4 linked regions of the Arabidopsis thaliana genome follow. The protein of the gene in region 4 interacts with the protein of the main gene of each other region in a pairwise test. Each region holds a gene or a part of one and is shown on either strand. Other genes may lie near its edges.

Region 1 (5,813 bases), on a different chromosome or scaffold from region 4:
TGCATTATACAGCAGGTAGTCTTATATTTTAGTTAAACTAAAAACTTTTATTGTAAAGTTGATTATAAATATATGATATTATTTTATTTGATTTTAAATGTATAGTAAACTGCGAGTTGTATATGTTTTGTTGATATTATTTATATTGTTTAGTGTTTAAAATTATATACTTGTATTTTGATTGTTAATTTTAAAGTTTCACATATAGTATATCATCTTGTATTAATATTGATTTAAACCCGTCAATTGTAGGATTTTTCAGCTTGTATTAAAAATTGAATCACATCATACACATTAAAAAATCTAATATGTTATTAATTATTGTAGTATATAAGATTATAAATTTTAAAATAATATGTATGAAATTGAATATAAATATTCAAACTATGACACAGTACTCAGTAAAAAAATTTCTTAAATCTACTTTTGACCCGTTATAGTATTTTTTCATGTATTGAACAGTTTATATTCGTTTTTAAAAATTCAAATTGTGGCATATGCGAAAAAATTCTAATTATTTTTTTATAACGATGATATTATTTTTTTGCAAAAATAGAATCATATAAAGATGAGAGGTGAACTATAATAATTAATAAAAAATTAATATGATAATTTAGATATCAAATCTAATTTGTTGATTTTAATTGGTTACTTTTTTGGAAATTAATAATGTATTTCGTTTTTGAGTTAAATTTAATTAATTAAATTAGTATTTGACTTTTAATTTTTAAAGAAATAAATTAATTTACTCTTTAAAATCTTATTTCTAATGACATACCTATGTAATTACTTACAAAAAAATAAAGTTATATTTAAAATGTATTTCCTAAATAATATAGTAGGATGTTATTGGTAAACATTGAAATAACATGTCGTATTCTCAAAGATTTTAAATATTGAAAATAAATAAATAATGTTGTATCTGAATAAATATTTATATTTATTGAAGTATTCGAAATTAATGACATCCATATATTTTTCATATACTAGAAAACAAAAACTATAATTATTCGAGTTTATCTAATAAAATAATGTCACTTGCATATTTGTGACCTATCGACATCAATATCAACGAGGTAGCGAAAATGCTAAAAAGTAGAGGAGGATTCGAGCATTATATTCATATTTAAGTGTTACTTTAATAATCTTATTATTTGTCCTAAATTGAAGTTTTAGCTAAATTTTCTCCCACAATATTGTTATTCTGATTTTGTTAAGAGTTAGGACAACATCTAAATATGAATTCTATAATGCATGCTAACTATTATTATAAGTGCTAAAATATAAAATGACATTGTCACTTTTTGTTGTCAAAAGGAATGTCTAGTGGCCTCGTATTCTAATATGGGAAGTTTTAATTATTATTCCTACCAAAAAATATCTTTGAAGTAGACAGTTTACCTAAACAAAAAGAAAAACATTTTCTTAAAAATACAATATAGTTTAGTCTCAGCCTGTACCACAATTTTATAGTATTGTTGCGTAATTAGTTACATTGTAAAAGCTCATTATAATACTAATGAGTATGTAGAAGTATGTAGAAGAAAATAAATGATTCAAAGCGACTACAAATGCTTGTATATGTGAGCGAACATGGGACAATGATTCAAAAAATTATCTTTGCGCAAAAAATAACTCGAAAACGACAATCAGACAAAAAAAAACAATAGTTAAATTTGATATAAAAGAATTTAAAATGAACGATATCTTATTTAATTACAAATTAAAATGTTTTTAAATTAAGTTTTTTTTTGTCGACAGAGAAGAAAAAAAACAGGTCCCTTTACGAATTCTATAAATCGATGTTAGGCGACGCGTTCTGAGGTGGAAAACTATGAAACAGTCTGCGTCTCTCCACGCAAAGGCTCAATTTTTACAAACCATGAAGAATTCTTAAGCAAAACAAGTCTAACATCTTTTTGAATTCACCCAAAACTCAAATCCTACCTCAAATTTCGTATTTTTCTTCTTCTGCATTTTCTAGTTTAGGATCGACATTTTTATCCTCCGAAAGATTCGTGCTTTTTTCTCTCTGTAGATTACGATTGTTTTGTAGATTTAAGAAAAACAAAAAGATGAGTTTTAGGGATGATAATACGGAAGAGGGAAGAAATGATCTTCGGCGACCGTTCTTACACACAGGAAGTTGGTATCGGATGGGTTCGAGACAATCTAGTATGTTGGAATCGTCTCAAGTTATTCGAGACAGCTCAATTTCTGTCTTAGCTTGTGTTTTGATTGTTGCTCTTGGTCCTATTCAATTCGGATTCACTGTAAGAACAACATAAACAAATATCTCAACTTTCTTATATTTTTTTTTATCAATGTGGATTTCTCTGCTTTTGCTCAAATTGACTAAGAAAGTGTTGATTTTGATTTATCTTTTTGTTTTCAGTGTGGTTATTCCTCACCAACTCAAGCTGCCATTACTAAGGATCTTGGTTTAACTGTATCAGAGGTATGAAGGTCCCATCTTTATTTAAGAACTGTTCTGTTTTTTTTTTTTTTTTTTGTAAAGACTCTTGTTCTGTAATTTTCTGACTTTTAGGTTTCTTGTTTGATGTTTTAGTACTCTGTGTTTGGGTCTCTATCCAATGTGGGTGCTATGGTTGGAGCAATTGCGAGTGGTCAGATTGCTGAATACGTTGGACGGAAAGGGGTATAATAGTTTTGTTTCTTGATTCTAAAACATGTTCTCATCTGTGACAATTTGTCATGTAACATCTTCTTTCTTGTTGTATCTTATTTACTGTGTTTTTCTTTCCTTTTGACAGTCTCTGATGATTGCTGCAATTCCCAATATTATTGGATGGCTTTCGATATCATTTGCAAAAGTGAGTGTTTTGGTGTTCTCAAAGTTTCTGATATTCTTGGCTTATCTCTATACCTACTAAGTTGTTGTTGTTCTTGGTTTTTGTTTAGGATACTTCTTTTCTTTACATGGGAAGATTGTTAGAAGGCTTCGGAGTTGGGATTATCTCCTATACGGTAATATTAGATTCAACTATTTCTTTGATTTCAGCAATGTTTGTTTGGAGTGATCAATATAATTACACACCTTTGAATTGCGATTTTAGGTTCCCGTATATATAGCTGAGATCGCTCCACAGACCATGAGAGGAGCCTTAGGTTCAGTTAACCAGGTTTGTCATGTTTAGTTAGCTTCACTATTTTTATGTTTCATTTTATGAGCTGATTCATATGTTAACACTAAACAATAAATGTTTTGTGTTTATAGCTTTCTGTAACAATTGGGATAATGCTGGCGTATTTACTCGGTCTCTTTGTTCCATGGAGAATTCTTGCAGTTTTGGGTAACTCACAAAACATTTTGACTTGACTTGGGAGAAACTATACCTGTTTTTATTTTATTTTGATCGATACAGTCTAATCACTTTCTTGTTTGTCTTCTTTATGTTTAGGAGTATTGCCATGTACATTGTTGATACCGGGTCTTTTTTTCATTCCTGAATCTCCTCGGTGGTTGGTATGCCTCTACAACCGTATTGCTTATATTGTTGAGTTTGTTGCATTATTGGTTATCCTAAATTGTTTTGGTGTTGTAATTGTAGGCAAAGATGGGTTTGACAGATGATTTCGAAACTTCATTGCAAGTTCTTCGTGGATTTGAGACTGATATTACCGTTGAGGTTAATGAAATCAAGGTAGTGACTAAACTGAAGAAATGCTTTGATGTGATTTCTTGTCTTATTTAAAATTTTCATTTTATGCACTCTGCAGAGATCTGTGGCATCATCTAGCAAACGTTCTGCAGTTCGGTTTGTAGACCTCAAGCGCAGGAGATACTATTTCCCACTGATGGTGCAATTTCTCTTACCTCTCTTGAACTAATTTTGTCAACACATGAGAGAAACTCACTCTTTTCCTGTAATCTGTGTTACAGGTTGGTATAGGGCTGCTTGCACTTCAACAACTTGGAGGAATCAATGGTGTCTTGTTCTATTCGAGTACAATTTTTGAATCTGCAGGTAGAGTCATATGTTTTTTTTGATTATTGGAATGGTCCTAAGATAGAATAAACAGATTTCTAACTATGCTTCTTTGTTTGCAATTATCATTCACTAAGGGGTGACATCAAGTAATGTGGCGACATTTGGAGTTGGCGTTGTTCAGGTATATCATTTCAATCTAGGAGACATTAGATTCGATTTTTCTAACCGTTGTTCATTCTATACCAGGTAGTGGCGACTGGGATAGCGACATGGTTGGTGGATAAAGCAGGTCGTCGGCTTCTACTCATGGTGAAGAATATTTGAGATTCATCTGTATATCTTACAAAGTCTGAAGAATTTATGTATGCATAACATAATATTAGCATTTTCTTCTGAAATGCAGATCTCTTCTATCGGAATGACGATAAGCCTCGTGATTGTAGCAGTTGCATTTTACCTTAAGGTAACATTTTAACTTTTGACATCTCTACTTGTACAATGTAAGAGTGTCACTCTAATTATGAGATATTGAGGTTTCTTAATCTTTTGTTAGGAATTTGTATCACCTGATTCCAACATGTACAACATTCTAAGCATGGTTTCCGTAGTTGGAGTTGTGGTAAGTCGTTTGTTTTATACATTCACACAACGAAAGATACTTTCTTATTTACATATTTCCCGGTATGTGTACTAAATCTGGCTGAGTTATTTACAGGCTATGGTTATTTCTTGCTCTCTAGGAATGGGACCAATTCCATGGCTGATTATGTCTGAGGTACTAAATATTAAAACATGGTGTTCCTTAGTGTTAAAATCACAACTGGAAATTTTAATACTGATTAATGTTGGTAAAACAGATTCTGCCAGTGAATATAAAGGGTTTAGCCGGAAGTATAGCAACTTTGTTAAACTGGTTCGTGTCATGGTTAGTGACAATGACTGCAAATATGCTGTTAGCATGGAGCAGTGGGGGAACTTTCACTCTCTACGCTTTGGTTTGTGGATTCACTGTGGTTTTTGTGAGTCTTTGGGTTCCTGAGACTAAAGGAAAAACGCTTGAAGAGATCCAAGCTTTGTTCAGATGATCAAAACAAGAAGAGGAAGAAGAAGACAAAATTTTCACTTTTTGCTTTCTCCATTACAGATCATTCTTTTGTCCCTTCCCTGTGTCTGTATTTCATGCTTTGTTCAATGTATTTCTTCTTGACATTGATTATAATTTGTTTATCTTGTACAAGCATATCATTATACCTTTAAATTTGATTTTTTGTTTTTGTGTGTAATTTTTCGGATTCTCAAGATTAATAGCACTATATTTGTGTATTCAACAATATCTTGAATTAAGTATAGAAAATCAGAAATGCAAATGTTAGTGTTTTGGATCCAAATGGGAAAGCTACCATGTGATAGAAACTGCTTTGGGAGTTTTGTTGTTTGGCGAACATGAAAGGACTATTTCCAATGCAAACGGCGGTCGATTTGAAAAAGAAAACAACAATATAATAACAATTTTAAAATCATTCTTTATATAACATTCTTGGCATGTCCCACTGTCCAATTTGACCATTCATTAAGAAATCAGAACCAAGTAAACAATACTAAGGTCATTTTCTTCCAAAAGTAATAAACTAGGAAAATATCTAGACAATTTACAGATAGTAACGAAATAATACGTTACAAGAACATGAAAATGGTTTTTGTAGTTACCGTTCCTTGTTTATATTCTCAAAGTAACGGATTCACATATTCACACCATTCAACACGAGTGAGTGTCAGTGAAAGGCAAAGTTGGACAAACGAAAGTTTTGGTTTCTGTAATTTAATTGGAGCAAACTTCAATAATAGTAAACAAACAACCTT
Region 2 (5,571 bases), on a different chromosome or scaffold from region 4:
AATCTAGTAGAGAGAAACAAAAGTGTTCATATGGAACATAGTTCTGGATTCAAGGGATGCTTAAGTCAGTGACTTTACCATTAAAATGTGGCGCAATGGTACTCGATAGTGTGAAGCTAGAGATCCAACCTTTAAAACGACAACAGAACAGTTTCAGGTATGATGATTATTTGATCACGCAGCTGATCTTTGCAAAGTTATGAACAGAAAATACAAACCGATTCGCCGCTGAAGTTCATATAAGTCTGAGGTTTAGCCAACAAGATAGGTACATCTTCAATAGCACCTGTACTGATTCATACATAGAACCAAAAAGTCATCAGTTTTATTATTCTTCAAACCAAAGAACCAAAGCAAGAGAAGTAGAACCTATTCCGATTAGAGCTTTGGACTGTATAGTGTTCATCAACACCCCTTCTTTTCTAGCCAACACATCGATCATCTCGAAACCAACCTGAAAACAACACAAAGTTGTAGCATTGCCAAGATCAAATCCAGCAATTAAGTAAAAGAAAAAGATTGTGTATCATTACATTGTGTCTTGTTCCATGATACTTGTTTCCTGGATTGCCCAACCCAACGATAAGCCAAGGAGTGTACTCTACTTTGAATCTATCATCCTCACCACCAGAAGTAGATGAACAAACCCGAAACCTCTGTTTCCGGAAAACTGGCTTTTGCGTTTGAAAATGGTAAACACTTGGTGTATACGTTGGGCACAACATGGAACTGTTGTTGATTCAAAGACCTATTGAAATTGAAATGACTAGAAACTTTGAGATTCAATACTTGGAATATACATAAAGATAAAAGCTTTTCAGGATATAATGAAATTCGAAATCATATAACAACTGAGAATCAAAACTTAATGAAACCCATTAACAGAGATACAGCGCAGATAAAAAATAATTGAAGTGTAATCGAACAGAGGACTCAGCAAAATTTCTGGAGAATCAGAGATTAGCAATGAGCTACAAGGATTACACAAAAATGTATTTGTGGTTTATATTATGTTATAAATTTTCAGTAGAAGAAGGATAAGTGAGAAGGAAAATAGCTTACCTCTTCTTCTTCAGGATTTTTCGAAACAATTTCGGAATTTTCTTTTGCGAAGACGTTGGAACGAGATAGAAGTAGAACGATGAAATACTGAGACGAAGATGTTAGAAATTGGTCCCGTTTTGTATTAATGGGCTTACTAATATTAGCCCACAAAAATGATGGGTTAAATAATAGTGGCCCAAGTTACTATGATTTTTATACGTCACCGTTACTATGCTCAATGGCGGCACGTGAGTACTATTGAATAACACGTGCGGCTATATACGTCATCCAAAATCTAATCCAGAAAATCCAACGTTGCCAAATCGCCAATCCTGCGGCTCTTACGTAACTCTTTTACTTCTTTTTTTCTTACCCTTTTATCGACTAATTTATGTCGAATAATAATTGTAAATAATTTTCTCAATTTATAAACTCAAAAAAATTTCCTAATTAGTCCCGCCACTTAGTTCGATTTAGTTGATACTGGTTGATTTATTCAAATTTCCTAGCAAATATTACAAAATTACCAATCCAAAATTGAAAGTTGCATCACATGCATTAAATTTCATGATTTCTTTAAAATAAGAAATGAAAATACTCTATTTTCCGTATGGTTTTGGATAAATATGAATTATTACACAAAAATCCAAAACTAATAAGGAAACAAAATTGCATTATTTATTTTTTGGTGCGTTTTAATTTTTTTTTTTAAACGACAATAAGCTCCACAGTGAGTTCTTCTCAGCAATCACAATCTATCTGGTTTAAGCCCTCACTATCCTCTCTCTCAAATCGCGGAGTCTCCGAAGTTTCTCTGGTAATTTTCAAATCTGAAGTTTTGCTTTGGATATCACGATTTTTGTTAATCAGCCGCGATCGAGAAGAGCGTTTTTACTCTCTCGTTCGCATCAATGCAACATATTTCCCAATTTCGTGATGTTGCGTCTTCATCGTTCCTTACTTCTCTCTTTTTGAGTTCTGTTTGGTATAAATGCGATCCTTTTTTTTCCTTCCTTGCCTAATATTTCTCGTTTCCTTGCAATTACGGTTATAAAAAGTCAGACAAAATGCAGTCGTCAACGTATGCGGTTAAAGGAAACGCTGCGTTTGCGTTTCAGAGACGGACCTTCTCTTCTGACAGATCGACGACTTCTACCGGAATTCGCTTCGCTGGTTATAAGAGCTTAGCCACCACCGGGCCACTCTACTGTTCTGGTTCTGAAGCCATGGGAGCGACGCTTGCTCGTGCTGATAACGGGATCCAGAGCGTTATGAGTTTCTCTTCTGTCAAAGCTCGATCGGTCAGAGCTCAAGCCTCATCTGGTTCGTCTCTTCTAATGCTCTTCTATCTTTGTCTATCATTAGATTCTGTGATTGCTTACAAGTTCTTAAATACAATTTGAAGAATCTAATGTATAGTTTGGGATTTGGACTAATCATCTGATGGTTTGAGGAATGAAATGTAGATGGAGATGAAGAAGAAGCTATACCTCTGAGATCTGAAGGGAAAAGCTCTGGAACAGTTTTGCCTTTTGTTGGTGTTGCTTGTCTTGGTGCTATACTCTTTGGTTATCATCTCGGGTATGACTAAATACTACACTGTTTTTATCTTGGTGTGATCATGGATGATGATGTTCTATTGGACTGAATCAGGGTGGTTAATGGTGCTCTTGAATATCTTGCTAAGGATCTTGGGATCGCCGAAAATACTGTTTTGCAAGGCAAGTATATGATGATCCACTTCTTTACTCCTCCTGTCAACGGTAAAATGATTCGTGTTTTGATTAGTAGCCAAACTCATAATTGGTATTCTCTATGATTGGTGTTGAGCAGGATGGATTGTTAGTTCTCTGCTTGCTGGTGCTACGGTAGGTTCATTCACTGGAGGTGCATTAGCTGACAAATTTGGACGAACAAGAACTTTTCAATTGGATGCTATCCCGCTTGCCATTGGAGCTTTCTTATGGTAAATTTTCAAGCACTAAGCCATACCTATTGGTGAGACGTTAATTGATTTCTTAACGCATTGGTTCTTTTTTTATTGATTAGTGCAACAGCTCAGAGTGTGCAGACTATGATTGTGGGACGTCTGCTCGCTGGAATTGGAATTGGAATCTCATCAGCGATTGTACCACTTTACATATCTGAGGTTGTTTAAATACTGATTTTCATTATTTTTGCACTTTTAGCATAAGATGTTAGATTTGTTTATATGTTATGTCTCTGAAGCGTTTGATGATGGTTGTCAGATATCACCAACTGAAATCCGTGGAGCACTCGGATCTGTGAACCAGTTGTTCATCTGTATAGGAATACTTGCAGCCTTGATAGCTGGATTACCCCTTGCAGCAAACCCTCTATGGTATGTAACATCCCTTTTTTATTCATCATCTTTTATTTTGGGTTGCATACTGTGATAAGTTTTGATATCGTGGTCTTCTAGGTGGAGGACGATGTTTGGTGTTGCAGTTATCCCTTCCGTTCTATTGGCCATAGGAATGGCTTTTTCTCCAGAAAGCCCAAGGTGGCTCGTTCAGGTACTCTCAAGGAACAGATCTCAACACTTAAAATGAGATCAATTTTTGACAAGTCAAGGAAATCAATTTTGCAGCAAGGAAAAGTCTCTGAAGCTGAAAAGGCGATCAAAACTTTGTATGGTAAAGAAAGAGTGGTTGAACTAGTTCGCGACTTATCAGCCTCTGGCCAAGGTTCTTCTGAGCCGGAGGCAGGATGGTTTGATCTATTCAGCAGCCGCTACTGGAAAGGTATAGCAAGACTTGGTGGAGATACATTGTTTAGTTTGTAATAAAAGCTGACGGATTCCTTTCAAAGGTCATATCGGATTGATCAATTTACATAGTTTCTTGTCTGTTCTTGTTGTAGTTGTAAGCGTAGGTGCGGCTCTCTTCTTGTTTCAACAGTTAGCCGGGATAAACGCAGTTGTGTATTACTCCACATCGGTATTCCGTAGTGCGGGAATCCAATCAGATGTTGCAGCCAGTGCTCTCGTTGGAGCATCAAATGTCTTTGGTTCGTTTCCCCGTTATGTTCTCATTAAATTCCAAAAATAACCAAAAAAATAACACGATAAAAATCTGGTCGCAGGCACTGCTGTTGCTTCATCGTTGATGGATAAAATGGGAAGGAAAAGTCTTTTACTGACAAGCTTTGGTGGAATGGTACATGTTTTTATTAAAATTCTTAGCCATATTCGAAAATCTCAACCCTCATTAGTATTACCACAACAGGACTAACTTGGATTTTATGGTTTTGTATTGAAAAGGCTTTGTCAATGCTGTTACTCTCCTTGTCCTTCACATGGAAGGCTCTTGCTGCCTATTCTGGAACCCTTGCCGTTGTTGGAACTGTTCTGTAAGTCAATCTCCTCTTAACACTTCCTTATAGTCTCTCTGTATAGGACTTGACTGACTCTTATGCTCGGTTGTTTAAATCAGATATGTCCTGTCATTCTCACTTGGTGCTGGCCCGGTACCGGCTCTTCTTCTTCCAGAGATATTTGCATCCCGAATCAGAGCAAAAGCCGTCGCTCTTTCTCTCGGCATGCACTGGGTATATACATATATCTATAGGTTTTATGGGTTCAGAACAGAGTTTCTTCTCTCTGTTTCTAATGTTTTGTTTCTCTTTTGCCCTAACAGATATCAAACTTTGTGATCGGACTATACTTCTTAAGCGTTGTGACTAAATTCGGAATCAGCAGTGTCTACTTGGGTTTTGCTGGAGTCTGCGTCCTTGCGGTCCTCTACATTGCAGGAAACGTCGTCGAGACTAAAGGTCGATCACTGGAGGAAATAGAGCTTGCTCTTACATCTGGAGCTTGAAATTAAACAAAAGAAATCAGCAGAACAAAAACCAGTTTGTTTCATCATTTAGTTTGTGAGTCTTTCTCTAATCTGCTACTCTTAAATTGTACAATGGACGACGTTATCAATAACGAGAAATCTTTTCATGACCACTACATGTTGGCTTTCCTTTCCCACCTCTCCCTGGTATCTAGCCTGTTTCAAAACAAAAAAAGCATGGCATTAGCACGGTTTTCTCAATATGAAAAAGAATTCTAAAATTAGCGAAATAAGCTCACCCCCAAAACAGTTTTTGTGGCTTCTTCGGTACTGTGACTACTGTCTTGTTATGATTCTGTTCTTCTAAGGTAGAAGAAGAAGAAGAAGTTGGTTCTTTCAACTTTTTAGAGCTTTCGCCATCTTCGATCGCTTTACTCTGAGAATTCTTGCTCGCTGCATTTCAGTGTAGAGCTTTTAGTCTAGTGAATATGAACTGAGAATTCTCAAAAAAAGAGAGCTAAATATATATATACCTTTAGGTTTCTTCTTATGAATCTTTGCATTAGCTTTTATTTGCATACGTCTCTTGTGTAGCTCCTGTAATCTCAACACAACCAAAATGGCTTCAAATTCAAATTGCTATGTACATAGTAATTCGGTTGAAAGAAAAAAAAAAAAAACTGGATTGAACAGTTGATAGAAATTCGAATCAAGATGATTATAC
Region 3 (4,492 bases), on a different chromosome or scaffold from region 4:
AGCCCATATCGAAGCTATATCTTTCCATCCATGTGCCCAAGTTCCAGCACATGGGATTGACAAGCAGAACATTGTTTTCCAGCCTCCCTTGGGTAACTTTGTTCTCATGCGATACCAGGCAGGTTGTGGACTCGGACCACCAGTGAAAGGGTTCTATCAGCTATCAATGGTTTCAGAAGACGAGGGTGCATTCCTCTTCAAGGTGCACCTCATGGAAGGTTACAAGGCTCCTCTGTCAATGGAATTTTGCACTATTACTATGCCCTTTCCACGGAGACGGATAGTGGCATTTGATGGGACTCCGTCAGCTGGGACTGTTTTAACCACAGAACACTCTGTTGAGTGGAGGATTCTGGGCAGCGGACGTAGTCTTTCTGGGAAAAGCCTTGAGGCAACTTTCCCTGGGACAATCAAGTTTAGTCCATTGCAGAGCAGAAGAAAAGGGGATGGGGATGATGAAGAGAGTGAGGATGAGAGCGCTGAGAATGTGGTGAACGTGGAGGACTTCTTGGTGCAGAAAATGAACAAGGATCTCCCAGCAGCTGAGTTGGAGGAACCGTTCTGCTGGCAAGCCTATGACTATGCCAAGGTATGTATGTCTTTGGCTTCCTTTTGAAATCTTTTGGACTTGGTTGTTGTTCAAATCTATCTTCTGGTTTACAGGTCTCGTTCAAGATTGTCGGGGCATCTGTATCTCGAATGTCAATCGACACAAAATCAGTAAGCTTTCGCAACTTGCAATGATTAGTTAACAGTGTTAGCCCATATTATCGACTTATTATGGCCTCCTTTTGTTTTACTAGGTCAATATCTACCCAACCACAAAGTCACCGGTTGAGTTTTCTGCTCAGGTAAGACACTGCCAACAATATATAGTGTATAAATATTGAAGTGCACAGGAAACGTTTGAACCGGATTGGATAAAACTCTAAAGGCGCTCTACATGATATGTGCGTAAACAGGTGACTTCAGGGGATTATATATTGTGGAACACATTGGGGAAAGCTCCATCAGCAGCCGTCGTGTGATTTCCCCAAGTCGCAGCCTCACTGGTATTGTATTTTCCCATCCCAAGGAAGTGATTTATTTGTTTGAGTTTGAAAGCATTAAACGTATGAATGAGCAGTTTGATTTTTACAGCGGAAGTGTATCTGTACATTATTGTTGTTTCTTGAGAGATAAAGAAAGATGAATGTTGTTTTAGTTGCAAATCTGTCTGGAATGGAACATGTGATAATAAAACTCGTAAGGTGGTTGTGTTCATGAAGTTGCCACTGTTTCATAATTAGTCTACAAGCCTAAGAAAGAAATTGCTCTATATAGAGAATGCTATCTAGATATAGTATATATCCAGCTCATAAAGGAGATTATAATCCAAGGTTTGCAGCAATATGAGGTCTGTATTTTATGAAATTACAAAATTAGAAGAAAAATATCAATCAATTTAAAGATTGTTGTTGCCACGTCAATGACACTGTCTCTGTAGTTCCAATGAGCTTGGAATAACCACCGACAGATCTCATTCATAGGGAGCAAGCTGCCATTGGAGGTTAATTCCATTTTTTTCATAATAAAGGTTAACTGTCCAAACTCGAAACCCTGATTTATTTAGTTTTCAATAAATGTTTTCATGCCTTTTAAGAGTGTGTGCTAAGCTAACAGATGAGCTGTTATTACCTTGAAAACTCTAATCTATCTTAATTTAATAAGTTCTTAAATATCTTTCCAACTTTTTTTACGCTTTAAGAAAAGAAAAAAAATCCTATTTCTTGAAACGTAATGTTAATGGAAGGAGTCAAGTTGTCTTTTGAAAATTGGATTACCTCATTAGAAAATTCCACCAATTTGGTCAAATAGAGACGATGAGATTTCTAAGAAGTCTCTCCGGTTCAGATCTGGTCATCTAAAGCCCTTCTTCCGAGATCTACGACTTTCTTCCTCAAGTCGTTGTCTGAATTCTCTTTTTTTCCGAAAACAGACACCACCTGAGTCTGCTGTCTGAAGCCTCGGCGGAGGGAGATGATGAAGAATCTTCCGGAGGTTGGTAATGGCGGTGGCTCGGGTTTTCCGGCGGTCTCTGTCGGAAATAAGAAGAATAAGTATCAGAGAATGGACTCCGACGCGGAGGAATCGCAGAATCATCGTGAAGCAGAGGCTAGAAACAGTAGAACCAGAAAATACGTTATGGCTTGTGCCTTTTTTGCATCCTTGAACAATGTTCTTCTCGGCTACGGTCGGTTTTACTTATATAATCGGATTCTTCTTCTTCTTCTTTACTTTGTTGACTTACAAAAAGGTATGTGTGCTCTGTTTTTGGTATTTGTCAGATGTTGGGGTAATGAGCGGTGCGGTGTTGTTCATACAGCAGGATCTCAAAATAACGGAGGTGCAGACGGAAGTGCTCATTGGTAGCCTTAGCATCATCTCACTCTTTGGCAGCTTAGCCGGCGGCAGAACCTCTGACTCTATCGGTAGAAAATGGACCATGGCCTTGGCTGCTCTCGTCTTCCAGACTGGTGCTGCCGTGATGGCTGTCGCTCCGTCTTTCGAGGTTTTGATGATAGGGAGAACTTTAGCCGGCATTGGGATTGGGCTTGGTGTCATGATCGCTCCTGTCTACATCGCCGAGATATCCCCCACCGTAGCTAGAGGATTTTTCACTTCGTTCCCTGAGATCTTCATAAATCTAGGGATCTTGCTGGGCTATGTTTCGAACTACGCTTTCTCGGGGCTTTCCGTGCATATCAGCTGGAGGATCATGCTTGCAGTTGGGATTCTTCCTTCGGTGTTCATAGGATTTGCGCTGTGTGTGATCCCTGAGTCGCCGAGGTGGCTGGTGATGAAAGGCCGAGTGGACAGTGCACGAGAGGTGCTCATGAAAACGAATGAGCGAGATGACGAAGCGGAAGAGCGGCTTGCAGAGATACAACTGGCGGCTGCACATACAGAAGGCAGCGAGGACAGGCCCGTGTGGCGTGAGCTTCTTAGCCCATCTCCTGTTGTACGGAAAATGCTGATTGTTGGATTTGGAATCCAGTGTTTCCAGCAGATCACAGGAATTGACGCCACAGTCTACTATAGTCCAGAGATCCTGAAAGAGGCTGGGATACAAGACGAGACCAAACTGCTCGCTGCAACTGTCGCTGTTGGTGTCACGAAAACAGTGTTCATACTATTTGCCACCTTCCTGATTGATAGTGTTGGCCGGAAACCGCTGCTTTATGTGAGCACAATAGGAATGACTCTGTGTCTCTTTTGTCTAAGCTTTACGCTCACATTCCTCGGCCAAGGAACGCTTGGGATAACCTTGGCGCTTCTCTTTGTTTGTGGAAACGTTGCCTTCTTCTCCATAGGAATGGGACCTGTTTGCTGGGTCTTGACATCAGAGATCTTTCCATTACGATTAAGAGCCCAGGCATCTGCGCTTGGGGCGGTTGGGAACAGGGTGTGCAGCGGTCTGGTGGCCATGTCCTTCCTCTCTGTGTCACGTGCCATCACTGTTGGAGGAACCTTCTTCGTTTTCTCCCTCGTGTCTGCACTCTCAGTTATCTTCGTGTATGTGCTAGTCCCCGAGACAAGCGGGAAGTCACTGGAGCAGATAGAGTTGATGTTTCAGGGTGGGCTGGAAAGAAAAGACGGTGAAGTTGAGCTTGGAGATGCTGAGCGTCTTGTGCGCAAGGAACAGGAGTTTTGAATTGATCATGTTAAAGTAGAAGAGGCAGAAGTGAAAAGATACTCTTATGGTGTTCTGTTCTTGCATTAGATCCAAAGAACGTAAGATAGATTTTGTAAGTGCGTTTGATGATGGTATAGACCCAGTGCATATTCCAAAGAAACCAACTGCTCTGTTTTTTTGTTCCTTGTTTCAAGAAGAAACCATGTGATACTCAACTCAAAAGACAATATATACAGAAATGACAGAACCTTTGTGTTCACTTCATGTTTCACACTCTCCTTCTAACACTCATAAAGTTACAGGCTCTCCGGACAGTTCGGCTATATATCAACTCAAACTTATTCACCATCAAACAACAAGAAGATTTTGCTAGTACTAAACACACATACACTCACACCCTCTCTTACCTTGTGCATCCTCCATAACAAGAGAGAAGGATTTGATGGACGGAGATTGTTATCGATCAAGAAGTTTAAAGCTCGTAACCTGGGAACCTGGCTTCAGATGGGTCGACCATGTCAAGGAAGAGATAGGCCATGCCTGCAACGCCTTCAAACAAGGAATAAGGACTATCACCTCCATGCATTTCTCCTTTTGAGAGTAACTTGGGGCCTCTATCAAGCAGGAAACTGGCAAAGGCTTTTGCACGGTATAGATACTCACTCCTTCCCGTAGCTCTGTAAAGCGCAAGAAAAACATATGCGTTCCCACTTATTCCATGACAGATCCCCACGCGCTTGAGCAATCCACGGTTCCAAACCACCTCTGCTGCAGCTGCACTCGCTTCCAGAAACTCTCTCTCCCCAAAAACCTGAG
Region 4 (5,167 bases):
CCTTGGATCTTCCCAATAAAACCCCTTGAAGATGAAAACCCTGATATTTCTTTAACGGAGTCAACGAGTCGACTCATTAGCTCCTCGTGGGAACAACAATTCGTTAATCCCATCCCTCAGATTTTACTGTTCCAGAGGGCTTCAAAAGGGTTTTAACGAAACCAAGACGAGGAAGAAGAAACCCAAAAAACCAAGAGGAGGAACAGAAATGCTATGGAACGAAATAGTCTTCTCATCAACGTGACAATAAACACCTATTTGGACATGAAAAGTCTCATTTTGTCCATTTTCAGACCAATCATAATTTTTTCTATTTTATTTTGCCGTTAAATTTTAATATTTAAACATTGCATTTAGATTTTCATATTTATTTATTGCCTCAACTATAAATTTATGATATTAAGGTTGACCAATACAAATATATAAAGTTTTTAAGTTTGTATTTGCATCTGAAATCATCAAAAGTCAAATCCTTTGTATAATGGATTTCTCTACCTGTTTGTTAGTCTCTTTGAAATTGTCAAATAATTTCTTGATTTAGGTTTTGTTAGAATTGGCTGCAATAGTCTCTCCCACAAACTATACATGCATTGAATCATTTGAATGAAGCTTTACTCTTCTCTACTTCTGATGAATCCCACTAAAATATGTACTGATGATCCATTGCTTGATATAACTTGGGTTTCCACTTTTGAGGTTCGTAATATCCCCAGTTTCAAACTCAAATCTTCACATTATACAACACACTTGACTTAACAGATAGAGAAATATTGTTTTGAAACATTACATTAAAAAGTATGGAAAGATTAGTAGTCTGAAGACATGGCTGAAGATGAGATGATTCAACACTCCAATCATGACGAAGGAGCAGGACGAGGTAGCCTCTTGCCAATTTCCTATCAGACATGTGTACACTACAACAAGTTAAAATCTCATATACTTCGTATTAATCCATCTTTCTGCATCCAAAACTATTATCCTCCACAAACTACAAGAAATTAAATCTCATATCTAGCTGCATATCACTGCCTATCACTTTTCCATCCTCCAATTCCAAAGCAATGAAAGAAACGGATAATAAGATCTCAATAAATGCAGAGGACAAGAAAATCGATCATAAATCAGAGGCAAGAAAGAAGTGCACACCTCAAACAGTTGATTTATGTTATCGGCTGTCTTGGCTGACGTCTCAATGAAGAACATGCCGTTCTTCTCTGCAAGCTCCATTCCATCCTGTTAAGAAATTGAAAATGTGATACCACTGAAGAAGCAAGGACAATGAAAGTGACAACAAAATGCGCTACGGAATCTAGATGAAGACGTTTACGCAAACTCACCTCAGTAGGTACTTCTCTTTTTTCATGTAGATCAGCTTTGTTACCAACCAGAGCCATAACAATATCTGGGCTTCCATGCTTTTGCAGTTCCTGTTAGATTTATGGGCAGGGGTAAAACAATAGCACTAGATTCAATATAATGTTGATATCTTTCCTGCACGGAGTTGTGCCAAATGGCTTCATGGTAGCAACGAGTGCAAATTAATGGAACAAAAATGTCAGAGAAGTAAACCAGTTGCCCAACTAAATGATACCCATTATATACACAGACAGGAGTGCTGTTGGCTATATGACTGTCTGTAACTCTAATTTTCAGTCCTGGTAAAGATATAGCTCGGAAGCTATTGCACGAATCCTAGAAACATGAACGAAATGGAACCTTTTGAACCCCCTGAAAACATACCTTAACCCAATACTGTGCTTTCTTGAACGATTCAGGGCTTGTTATATCATACACAATAACAGCAACTCCAGCTCCACGGTAGTATAGTGGTGCAAGAGCAGAATACCTAAAAATAAAGTGAATGCAGGTTAAATCCTAGTAAGTTTGCAAAGCGTTTATCTAATAAAATAAGCAATACAAATCTGCATGAAGGGTTTAATACCTCTCCTGTCCTGCTGTATCCCATATTTCAAACTTCACTGTGGTAGAGTCTTGCAATGCTATAGTTTGGGACAAGAACGAGGCTCCAACAGTTACCTGATACATAGCTAGTAGTCTTGAGATCTAGTGGCAGATAAGTATACTCTAATAGTCTAATATTCACTCACATCAGAGCATGGTGTTCTAAAAAGGTGTCAGATGGTCAATAAAGACAATTAGATAACAAGGCTTTACTTACCTTAGATGTAGCGTCAAACTGACCACGTACAAATCGAAGGACAATACAACTTTTACCAACACCAGAGTCTCCTAATAGAACTAACTGCAATCAAGTGAATCCAAAAGTTAGTGGTATGTCTTACGCAAAGTTGAAACCAATTATACCACACTTGGCAAAATACTGCTGAGCAACAAGAAAATAAAAGGTGAAAGAAAAGGAATCATCTCCTTAACAATAGAAAAAGAGTTTCAAAAGTAGCTTGCAAAGCAAAACCGTCAATTATTAAGAACAAAGTTGAGGTTTTGCTACTACCATTCTATAAAGAGTGTATGTTTCTTCAAAAGCGCTTCACTAGGCTTATCACATCTTACAACATGCGTGGATTAAAATGTGAACAATCATATATAATGCAAGACCACAGATCACAAAAGCATGAACTTTCTAATAAGCTATTAGAAATTGCAGGAATCAGTGAAGAAACAAAGCAATCTCAACGAGATCAACATTCTTAAACGAGACTAAAAACTAAAAAAAAAAAACCTTCACACGTAGATTTTTGGCATCAGCTGGAACAGCATTCTCTGAATTGCTAAGACCACTTAAAGTTCCAGAGTTCCTATCTGCTTCACAAAACACACAAATCACCAACAATCAATTCGGTTTCTCCAATTCTCCACCAGAAAACCCTAACCAATCATCAAAATCCCCAATTTTTAAAAGCTTCTAATTCAACCCCGATGATTACACCTTCGGAAAATGGGTGGTGAAATTGCTCGAGGGTCTCTATAAATCCTCAGTTTTATTCGAACAACGACAACAAATTCAACAAAATTGAGAGAGAAAACAAAACTTGCCTGGAAGAGAAGAAGCACATCCCATAGCTTACCCCTGAATAGATGATAATTGACGAGATTATAGAAATTACAGCTGAGAAGAGATTGTATACAGGATTTGAGCGTTGATGGTAACGAGTTGAAGAAGAAGAAGAAGAAGAAGAAGAAGAAGAAGCAAGATCGTCAAATAAAAATAAAAACTTATCGATTTGATGATTTTTATCGTCCTTTTCCTTTGACTTTACCAAAGTTTTATTTTAAAGGCTCTTTTTTTTTTCTCATAAGTGTTGTCTCTTATTTTATGAACCCTTTAACCATTTCTCAAAATATTTTACATATGGTTATTCTCAATTTCCACAAAGCTATGAAGTATGAACATATATTATTAACATATATTATCTCAATAAATACAGTTTTAGTTTTAAGTTTTAACCGTGGTGAAGAGAAAAATTCTCATATTTAGCAAAAACTGATTTGTGTTGATTAATTTACTAAACAACATTTTTATATAAAATTACTTTTTTCATCTATAATAAAATTGCTTAAATATTATACACAAGTATACAAACACAATTAATTAAAGAATACATACATGGGTTTTATTCAAGAAATAACCCAAGCATAGAGCAAAAAAAAAACAAATAGGTGATTTAGCTATCAATCTTTGCACATACTTAATTTAGCGGGTAATATTTTAGGGGATTATTACTTTTATGGATTAGGAATAGCTTTCTCTGTTGTAGAACAAAGAGTTGAATCTAAAGGAAGATTGTTAATGTAGCGGCTAGGAGCTGAGTTGAAGTGAAACCCCTTTGGAAGACAATCGTTCATCGCTCCACCGCGAAATGCGCCTTGTTCGCTACCTTTTATGTAAATTGTATTCGTGCTCATGTGACCCGGATTATTGGATTCCAATAAAGGTCTTGATGCACAGACAACGTTTGTTCGAGGAGAAATAAGGAACAAAAAGAGTAACATGAAGAAGGAAATGTAGCTCGACATTTACTGAAGTTAGCTATCAATCTTTGCTCTATAATATCTTGTATTCTTGTGAGGAATATATGCTCTATTTATATATGAGTGGGTGTGTTTGCTTGTGATCATTGTATTGACCAAGTTACGTATGTGTATCCTTGCGTGGTGAGCTTTGAAATAGAACAACTCACATAGAACACTTTTTCGATCATGCTCGTGCTTCTCATTACGCCAAACCTTCTCCAAATTTTGATTTTCCAAGTCATAATTCCACTATTCAATTTATTTCAACATATTCTTTTTTAGATGAAATAGGAAAGATATGACATAAGAAAATAAGAAAACTATTTACATTTAAAGTTGACAACAAAAATATTACATTAACAAATGAAGACCTGAAATTAGCTTAGAGATGGTTTAGTGCAATATTACTTGCTAACAGAACAATAAAATTTGTCTGTGTGAGGGATAAATACTTTAGCTTAATCTAATACACTTGGAATTGGATACGTATATAATTAATAGTAATAGAGTAAAATTAAAAATAATCCGACGTGGATAATAGAACTACAGATGGGAAGAAGAATCTTGGCCTGGGAGAATCTAATTGTACACCTACTTGGATCCTAAATGCTGATCTAAAGTTGAACGAAGCAACAGTCGACACGTGTTAAGTTAACCCTCATGCAATTAGATCTTCTCTCTGGCGCTACAACTGCATAATCTGAGATCTAACAATGTATACCAATAAGAGAAGACCATGTGGATAATAATGACACGTCAACGATTGTAATCTCATGTCTGATGTTGGTCCGTTTACCGGTTAGATGAGTGAGTTGTCCTGCTATGTGCCAACGTGTCCCAATGTCTCGCTGACAAGCTTTTGATCGTAGTGCTTTTGAGATATTTTGCTCGAGAAAAAATCTATAAGAAAATCTATTTCAAATTTGCATCCAAATGATTGAAAGTGCATGACCTTAAAATCAAATTTTACTAATGACAAATTTTCATAGTAACGATTCAGTCTACGTACAACCGGAATCCGTTAAGTCTTACATTCCTCAGGTTTATACTAACGACACTATAATACAAAGAAGTACTTCATGATGAGTAATAATAAAAATTTAGTGATCGGTGTTTGTTTTTGCATGTGTCAAGCTTCTTATCTTCTATTAACAGGTAAACATGAACCATCATA

Evidence for each region.
Region 1: the proteins of ARA6 (region 4) and AT1G19450 interact in a protein complementation assay, tested with the Arabidopsis thaliana proteins (one large-scale study listed by BioGRID).
Region 2: the proteins of ARA6 (region 4) and PGLCT interact in a protein complementation assay, tested with the Arabidopsis thaliana proteins (one large-scale study listed by BioGRID).
Region 3: the proteins of ARA6 (region 4) and AT2G20780 interact in a protein complementation assay, tested with the Arabidopsis thaliana proteins (one large-scale study listed by BioGRID).

What each region holds. Positions count from the first base shown.
Region 1 is NC_003070.9:6,730,896-6,736,708, reverse strand, and holds AT1G19450 (Major facilitator superfamily protein), read left to right. Parts: upstream 1-1,684; 5' UTR 1,685-2,075; coding exon 2,076-2,273; intron 2,274-2,395; coding exon 2,396-2,458; intron 2,459-2,569; coding exon 2,570-2,659; intron 2,660-2,774; coding exon 2,775-2,834; intron 2,835-2,922; coding exon 2,923-2,988; intron 2,989-3,077; coding exon 3,078-3,143; intron 3,144-3,238; coding exon 3,239-3,314; intron 3,315-3,422; coding exon 3,423-3,487; intron 3,488-3,572; coding exon 3,573-3,665; intron 3,666-3,741; coding exon 3,742-3,822; intron 3,823-3,904; coding exon 3,905-3,989; intron 3,990-4,087; coding exon 4,088-4,134; intron 4,135-4,199; coding exon 4,200-4,262; intron 4,263-4,356; coding exon 4,357-4,416; intron 4,417-4,506; coding exon 4,507-4,572; intron 4,573-4,668; coding exon 4,669-4,728; intron 4,729-4,810; coding exon 4,811-5,038; 3' UTR 5,039-5,298; downstream 5,299-5,813.
Region 2 is NC_003076.8:5,270,793-5,276,363, forward strand, and holds PGLCT (plastidic GLC translocator), read left to right. Parts: upstream 1-1,683; 5' UTR 1,684-1,861; exon of another isoform or gene 1,862-2,102; 5' UTR 2,103-2,111; coding exon 2,112-2,367; intron 2,368-2,510; coding exon 2,511-2,625; intron 2,626-2,697; coding exon 2,698-2,765; intron 2,766-2,877; coding exon 2,878-3,010; intron 3,011-3,093; coding exon 3,094-3,193; intron 3,194-3,293; coding exon 3,294-3,406; intron 3,407-3,487; coding exon 3,488-3,581; intron 3,582-3,655; coding exon 3,656-3,809; intron 3,810-3,927; coding exon 3,928-4,074; intron 4,075-4,149; coding exon 4,150-4,223; intron 4,224-4,327; coding exon 4,328-4,416; intron 4,417-4,499; coding exon 4,500-4,614; intron 4,615-4,703; coding exon 4,704-4,886; 3' UTR 4,887-5,020; downstream 5,021-5,571. Other genes in the region: AT5G16140 (Peptidyl-tRNA hydrolase family protein), read right to left, coding at 1-3, 79-129, 219-286, 370-454, 534-725; AT5G16160 (uncharacterized protein), read right to left, coding at 5,021-5,063, 5,147-5,300, 5,381-5,444. UniProt on the Arabidopsis thaliana protein: May be involved in the efflux of glucose towards the cytosol.
Region 3 is NC_003071.7:8,946,698-8,951,189, reverse strand, and holds AT2G20780 (Major facilitator superfamily protein), read left to right. Parts: upstream 1-1,760; 5' UTR 1,761-2,019; coding exon 2,020-2,233; coding exon of another isoform or gene 2,234-2,296; intron 2,297-2,327; coding exon 2,328-3,694; 3' UTR 3,695-3,948; downstream 3,949-4,492. Other genes in the region: AT2G20790 (clathrin adaptor complexes medium subunit family protein), read left to right, coding at 1-589, 664-720, 804-851, 963-1,028; AT2G20784 (uncharacterized protein), read right to left, coding at 1,414-1,569; GCL2 (GCR2-like 2), read right to left, coding at 4,149-4,487. UniProt on the Arabidopsis thaliana protein: Plasma membrane sugar-proton symporter.
Region 4 is NC_003074.8:20,316,470-20,321,636, reverse strand, and holds ARA6 (Ras-related small GTP-binding family protein), read right to left. Parts: upstream 3,226-5,167; 5' UTR 3,041-3,225; coding exon 3,016-3,040; intron 2,782-3,015; coding exon 2,702-2,781; intron 2,682-2,701; exon of another isoform or gene 2,477-2,681; coding exon of another isoform or gene 2,474-2,476; intron 2,264-2,473; coding exon 2,180-2,263; intron 2,038-2,179; coding exon 1,943-2,037; intron 1,847-1,942; coding exon 1,741-1,846; intron 1,428-1,740; coding exon 1,338-1,427; intron 1,234-1,337; coding exon 1,147-1,233; intron 915-1,146; coding exon of another isoform or gene 900-914; exon of another isoform or gene 897-899; coding exon 855-896; 3' UTR 531-854; downstream 1-530. Other genes in the region: PUB14 (plant U-box 14), read right to left, coding at 1-113.